2 linked regions of the Ovis aries genome follow. The protein of the gene in region 1 binds, or shares a complex with, the protein of each later gene. Links are inferred from orthologs where the notes say so. Each region holds a gene or a part of one and is shown on either strand. Other genes may lie near its edges.

The links. Proteins that work in one complex are often made in the same cells at the same time.
Region 2: NOD2 (region 1) and MAPK14 share a complex: the UniProt entries of both Homo sapiens proteins name them as parts of the signaling complex. The link is inferred for Ovis aries from reciprocal best matches to the Homo sapiens genes NOD2 and MAPK14.

What each region holds. Positions count from the first base shown.
Region 1 is NC_056067.1:18,618,159-18,621,804, reverse strand, and holds part of NOD2 (nucleotide-binding oligomerization domain-containing protein 2), read right to left. Parts: intron 3,028-3,646; exon of another isoform or gene 2,777-3,027; intron 1,644-2,776; 5' UTR 1,636-1,643; coding exon 1,177-1,635; intron 1-1,176. UniProt on the Homo sapiens protein: Pattern recognition receptor (PRR) that detects bacterial peptidoglycan fragments and other danger signals and plays an important role in gastrointestinal immunity.
Region 2 is NC_056073.1:10,093,822-10,097,567, reverse strand, and holds the start of MAPK14 (mitogen-activated protein kinase 14), read right to left. Parts: upstream 2,754-3,746; 5' UTR 2,752-2,753; coding exon 2,636-2,751; intron 1-2,635. UniProt on the Homo sapiens protein: Serine/threonine kinase which acts as an essential component of the MAP kinase signal transduction pathway.

The DNA.
Region 1 (3,646 bases):
CCCTAAAGACATTTTTCTGTTCTTGTGGAATGGCATCTTCAGAGGCAGTTATCATAACCCTGAATGTTTATGAGCTAATGCAATTTCATATAGAAGTCCTATGTGGGCATTTAAACTACGTAAGTACATAGTGTTTTGAATTAATTATTAAACACAGATTTAACTTAATAAATGTTTGTGATCTGTTGAGCTGTTAATCTGAAGCAGACGGCACTGAAAGTGAACAAGTACAGAGCATCACCAGTTACAGAACTAATAGTAAACAGTGAGCAGATGAGCGCTGGGTGGTGGCTTAGTGCTCAGTCGTGTCCGACTCTGTGACCCCATGGCCTGTAACCCACCAGGCTGTGCTGTCCATGGGATTTCCCAGGCAAGAATACTGGAGTGGGTTGCCATTTCCTTCTCCACAATGCATACTTACTATGTGCTAGGTACTATTCTAAGAGTTATGTAGCTCACCGCATCAAATTCTCCCAAGACCTTACTGATGTTTCCCAGATGAGGAATCTGAGACAGGAGAGATTAAGGAATGAGAGCTTCCACAGAGAAATCTGAAGTCACAGGCCTTGAGCCTGCATCAGCCTGACTTCAGAATCCAAGATGCTCGCCACCACATAACAACATCTCGCATTAGAAGTGGCATGATACCAAAAGGCCACAGCAACTTTCACCTTCCCAGCTACCTTATTTATTTTTATTGATTAATTTTTGCCACACCATGCAACATTTGGGATCTTGGTTCTCCGACCAGGGATCAAATTTGTGCACCCTGCAGTGGAAACGTGGAGTCTTAACCACTGGATGGCCAGGAAAGACCGCTGGCTCCCAGGTGACACAGAGCTAAAGAATCCCCATGTTAGTGCAGAGACAAAGGAGACTTGGGTTCGATTCTTGGGTTGGGAAGATCCCCTAGAGAAGGAAATGGCAACCCGCTCCAGTATTCCCACCTGAAAAATCCCACGGACAGAAGAGCCTGGTGGGCTATAGTCCATGGGGTCACAGAGAGTCTGACAAGACTGAGCACGCATGCACACGCACGCATGCACACACACACGCACCTTTAAAGGAAGAGGACTATGACCCACAAGTCCCCACAGGCCTGATTTCACGAACTAGTCTCAATAGCTAAGCACACTTTTCCTCCGAAATCTGACGAGCCAAGAGGGAAGTGCTTACCCGCTGGGATGATGTGAAGATGGGCCGCCTGATTTCATCAGTTTCATACTGGCTGATGAAACCCCGCTGCTGTGTCAGGTCCAGCACACCCTCCACGTGGCCGTAGAGTCTCCTGACGATGGCTGGCCGATGACTCTGCAGGTCACGGGCTGGGTGGGGTGAGTGGGGGTCCCAGGAGCTGGGAAGCTCAGGGGGCTGGCTGTCGGCCTGGGCCTCCTGCACAGCTGCAGTCAGTTGCTCACAGCCCCAGGCACCCTTATTCCAGATGGTGTCCAGGAGGCGCCTGGCCAAGTGGGAGATGGGCTGGCCCACGAGGCTAAGCCCCTCATAGTCCTCCCAGGAGAGGACTTCCCGGGAAAGCAGCCGGTCCACAATACTCTCAAAGCCCTCCAGGGACCCCGAGACCAGCAACTCCACCAGCTGGCTTCTCTGTGTCTGAAAAGCATCTTGCGCGCACATTTCACAATCTGGGAGGAGAAAGAGGTCAGCGCAGGGCTTCTCAGAAAGCAGGCGGAGGGTAGTGGAGAGGGCAAGTCTGCCCCACCCTGAGGCCAAGGCAGCCACAGCTGTACCCTCAGACACTACCAAGGCAAGCTCCCCATTGTACAGATGTACAAACTGAGGCTCAGAGAAGGCAAACTGGCTTGTGGTCTCACAGATGATCTGAAGCAGCCAGGAGTTAAATTAAGGCCCCTAGCTGCGACATCTATGCATCATCCCTGGTTTAACAAGTTTATGACTTCCCTGGTGGTTGAGTGGTGAAGAATCCGCCTGCCAATGCAAGGGACAAGGTTCGAACCCTGGTGCGGGAAGATTCCAAATGCTGCAGGGCAACTAAGCCTGACACAATTACTGCACCCGCACCAAAGAGCCTGCAGGCCGCAACTGCTGAAGACCGTATGCCCTAAAGAAAGAAGCCACTGCACCGGGAAGGCCACAGGCCACCACTACTGCGGCCCCCACTCACTACAACCAGAGAAACCCCACGGGCAGTAGTGAAGAACTTTTGGTCCTCTGCCAAAAATAAATAAAATTTTTTAAAAAATTTAAAAAGGATTCTGTTAATATTAGGAGCAATGTCTCCCGAGGAATCGGGGAATCATTTCTCAACGAGAGGTCCCTTCTATGCTGGTTGGATTCACGCTACCATAGCTCTCTCTTCAATAATGGCTAATGTTTATTAATTAACCACATATACCATGTCAGGCACCATCCTAAGTGTTTTCGATTAACCCCGCCAACCACTCTGAATTTGGTACTAGGATCAGCCCTACTTTACATATGAAGAAACTGAGTCAGAGAGAAGCTTGGTGACCTACGCAAGGGTTGAGGTAGAGCCAGGATCTGAACCCCAGCAGAGCAACTCCAGAAGGCATGCCTTTCATTCCCTTGTATTTGGGTTCCCTACAGAGGCCCAAGCCCAGACCTGTGTACATAACCCACGGCGACCCCCCCAGGACAGACCCAGAACACTGCTGTAAAGATGCCAACCCAGGTGAAGTGAAACTCGTGGTGCTTTTCAAAGCCTGTGGATGCACTGACTCCCATCTACTCTTCCCCTCCCCAAATGCCCAGGCCCTCCCCTGCCCCCACCACACACCGTGCGCTGTCACCTCTGCCAATGGCTTACTCTGGGCTCAGCCTTCAGACTCTGGGTCCTGGGAGTCCGTGGGAAGCGATCTCACAGAGCTCCAAGCCCTGGCAGGGTCCCCACGCAGCAGAGAAAATCTCACAGCAGGTTCCCTTCTGTGATGGTCACGCAGTCCAGGGATGTGGGCTGGTGCAGTGCCCACAGAGAGTGAAAGTGAAAGGACGTAGGCATGGGAACCGAAGAGGAACTCCAGCGTCTGTCTACAAAACAGGGACATTCCAGGAGACTCAAGGGAGCAGACGCCAAGGGGCTTGGAAAGTCTGCCTTTTCCCTATTGGTTCTTTATGTGCCTAACTCCCTTCTTGGCCCAAGTGGAAGCCTGGGTTTTACTCATCCTGGCATCTCTAAGCCTGGCATGGAGCTGGGCCATGGGGAAGTACAGTGGGAATGTTCATGAATCAAAAATCCACTAAAAAGGGGTGGGGCTGTAACATTCTGTACCCGTCCTCACATGCCAGCCAAAGGAAGGGAAAGGAGAGATCGCAGCTCAGAATCCTGCCAACATGTAGGCTGGAATTCCTGTGCTGGCTAGATGAGGAAACTGAGGCAGCCAGGTGGCCCACGTGTCTGGCAGCTTCGGGGGCTGTGAATCCCCAATGCGGAGGCCACTGTAAACCAGAAAGGAACCCAGTTCTCTCTGGCCAAGCAGGCCTCCTCCCTGTGCCCAGTGCCAAGCAGAGGAGTCCAGAGGATAGAAGTGGGGAGAGGGGAGAGGAGAGAACAAGATGGGGTAGGACAGGCTCTGGGCTTGACGCTGGAGTGGTTCTCGGCTATGAAAACACCAGCTCCATCACCACACCTGCCCAGGTCCTCCAGAAA
Region 2 (3,746 bases), on another chromosome or scaffold:
CTCAAAGTTCTATTTTGATTTCTTGATCTTTCATTCACGATTAGTTATCATACTTGCGTTACTAGATACTTAGTACAAATGAAAACACTGAAAATTGGCTTATTATTTAATTTTTAAAGTTAACACATCAAAGTGTATCACACTTCAGAGCAATCAAATTAGGAAACTGACACATTATTTCAGTGATGTTGCATTCCTTGAAATACTTTCAGAGATTCTTTTTTGGAACAGACTTCAATCCAGTTCTACAAGTCCCACAGGAAATTCTGTGTCATTACTTTACGGTTACAACTCCTATTTGACCTCAAACAGTATCACCAGCCTGGCTGCCTGATCTTTTTCACCAGACTTGAGCCCAAATTCTCTAAATGATTTGGATTCAATCTAACTTCGTTATTTCCTAAAATCAAATCTGCTCTAAAAAAAAAATGAAGAGAGTGAAAAATAACACAGGCTCCAAAGTGGATTCTAAGAGAAGTTTAAAAAACATTTTTTTTTTCTGCCACACCTAAAAGCTGCTGACTGAAAGAACAACTTGAAATAACTACTCTGAATGAGATAACACATGTGAATGTAAATTCTGATATTTTCAATCCAAAATCAACTATACTTGTTTACGGTCAACTGTCACATAATATTGGTTATTTTTCTCCACCAATATGTTATAGGTTACACCTTAAACAACCTTAGCAGAACTGCCTCCACAGAAAGACACACAAGAAACTTAACAGGGGTGGTCTCTTGAGAAAAGAACTAGTCCAGCTGGACAAAGAGAATGGAAACTTTTCACTGTCTTTCTATGCCTTTTACATTTTATACAATGTGAATGTACTACCTACTTTTAAAAACCTGTTTAACAAAATTACTTCCAAGTGTCAGTTTTGATGGCTTCTATAAACCAGAAAAATAAAGCACTAAAAAATGTGGAGTTCATGTTTTATCAGCACTTCACTGGATCTCCAGTGCCAGGGCTGAGTTACTCACATCAACTGTAGGGAAACCTTGCAAGCAGTTCACTAACTCCCCACAGTTGAGCCGTATCACTCCACTAAAGTTTAAACAACAATGATAGGAAACAAAAATTCAGTACCACAAAAATTAATGTGTCAATTCCAGAATGAAAACTGGCCGTAAACAAGTGAGCTATTAAAGCAGCAATGATCCAAACACATCTTCGAAAATTAGCGAATCAACAGCACGCTATAAAAATGGAAAAAAGATGTCAAGCATAGGGCCATCAGCGACATCACTCAAGCAGCCTGAACTAGAAAACGCAATATGATCTGTTGCTGGACACAATTGCACAATCTCAATTACCCAGAAGATTCTACCAAACAGGAAATTCATGCTGGGGCTTTAAGAAACACAGGAATTATATTCAAAGATTACCAAGTCTAAAAGCCTGGAACCTGCCCCGAAACAAAAAACTAATTTTGTAGACCTCTTTGCAAATAATGCATGCACAGGAATTACATGAATTAGCTTCAGGTCAGCTCTCAAATTACACAAAATCTAAAATACAGTGTATAAAACCTTAGAAGTTAGAAAAGTTAGTGAACTGAGTCTGGAAATTTTACAGTAGCGTTTCATTTAAAAGACATTCATAGTGTGAATTAAAGCTGAAAAGTGTCTCTTCCTTCTTTTGCTATATATTCCATATCCCATGAAAACCATTATGTACCTCTCAGGCCTTAAGTGCAGATTAAGTTCTCTGCAAACCCTCTAAAGGACTTTAAAAACACAGTGTTTCACAAGAATTATCACGATTAAAAAATATTTATAATACATCGCAGCATTGTTAAAAACTTTTTGATCTTGAGGGCGTCCAACGGATCTGAACCTCACTTGCTCCAAAGGAGAAAATCGTTTTGTCAAACAATACTTAAATGAGCAGTGGTATGTGACTAATCAGCGAGGCCGCCAGCTTCTCAAGCTGCAGGCACTACCACCACCCCCCACTCTGCGAAAAGGAAATACGCTTTCAACTGAATCGGAAACACACCACTCAAGCTGGCACAGGGCTCACCGAGATAAAGTCGGTATTTTAAGCTCCCTGGATAGCTGCTAATTCAAGTGCGAATTCAAAAAGAACCCTTCTCAAAATGCAATTTCGACAGAGGTTTGCAAAAAAGCCCGAACTCAACGCCCTTCGTCCTCAGTTTTGTTCAGATGACCGCAGTCGAGCTTTGCCCTTCTGCTTCTCCGGGCAGCTTCCCGGGCTTGTCTGCTCCGAGGGCAGGCACATCTCGAGAGAGTCCTTCTGCTCGATGCCAGCAGGGAGAGACCTCCGAAGAGGGACCCCTGTTCCTGCCCCCGTAGCAGCACCGCCCCCCCACCCCCACCCCCACCCCCAAGGGAACGCGCAGGGTGCGAGTCAGGGCCCGGCTCCAACACCATCACCCACCGCCCACAGCGGACCTGCGTCCTACACACAGCTGACCATCTACGTGGGCGTGCAGGGTGGGGGTGCAAGGGGGACAGGGAGTGCAGGACAGGGGTCGAAGAGGGCTGGGATGCCCTCCCCCCAAGGAAAATTCCTGCCGCTGGGTGCATTGCTGAGCCGTGGGGGCAGGCCTGACTCCAGGGCATACGGAGACACCCGGCCCAGCGAGGCCCCCGGCCCGGTGACACTCACCACACAGAGCCATAGGCGCCGGAGCCCACCGGGGACAGGTTCTGGTAACGCTCGGGCACCTCCCAGATGGTCTTGTTCAGCTCCTGCCGGTAGAACGTGGGCCTCTCCTGAGACATCTTCCAGCGGTGGCCGCGGGGCGAGGAGGTGGCCCTTGCAGGGCCCCGCCTGCACCCGCACCCGCTTCCCCTGACCTCGTAGCCCGCCCGGCCGGGCGGGGACCCCTGCGCTGGCCGCCCGCGCAGGTGCGGCTGCGGCGACCCTGAAGAAGCCCGCGCGCGCGCGCGGCCCCTGTCAGCCGCAGCGGCTGGACGCGCCTCACCGACGGCGGGGGAAGCACTGCGAAGGGCCGGGGCACGCTCCGGGGCCCTGGGCTGGCGCCCCGCCCAGCTCTCCCTGCGCTCTCTCCACACCCGGCCGACTCCCGGCTGCGCGGCGGGGTCACAGCTCCAGCTGCAGCGCCCGCGGAGCTTCCAGTGGTCGCCTTTCCCAGAGCCAGCGAACAGGAGCCTCCCGCCGTGCTCTCGCGAGAACAGCTCCCGGACCTCTCCTCGAGCCGAGATTTTACCCAATATGGAACCTGCCCGCGGGAGGGGGGTTGATGAAGGGAGAGCTTGGGAGAAGTAATTCTCGCGAGAAGAGAGCAACAGCTGGCCCCTAGAGGCAGGAACTCCCAGGGATTGCTCTCCTTTAGCGCGCGAAGGCGGACCCGGGAAGGAGCGGAGAAGCAGACGATACAGGCCGCGCGCGCCCCATCGTGGTCGGCGGGGCAAGTGCTTGGCTCCCTGTTGGAAAGAGACAGTGACAAATCAATCGGGTGTCTGGGAAAAGAGCCAAAAGACCTTTAAACGGTGGGTAATCACCAGCAGCTGAGCACCTGCTCGGCGGAAAACCCCCAATTTCCAAGAAGTACTTGCATAAAAAAGAGAAAGATTCCGGCCAGAAAGCCGTTGTAGTCCCATCTGCTCAAGGACATACACTTACTCTTCGGAATGCTGACGAAATCTGTCTCAAAGGTAAATATTAGCCCTGAATTAAGGTTGAGGTTTTTCCACCCAGACACTTCTAGTAGTTCTCAAACTTTTACGTGCAGAAGAAGCACCTTGGGCGCTTA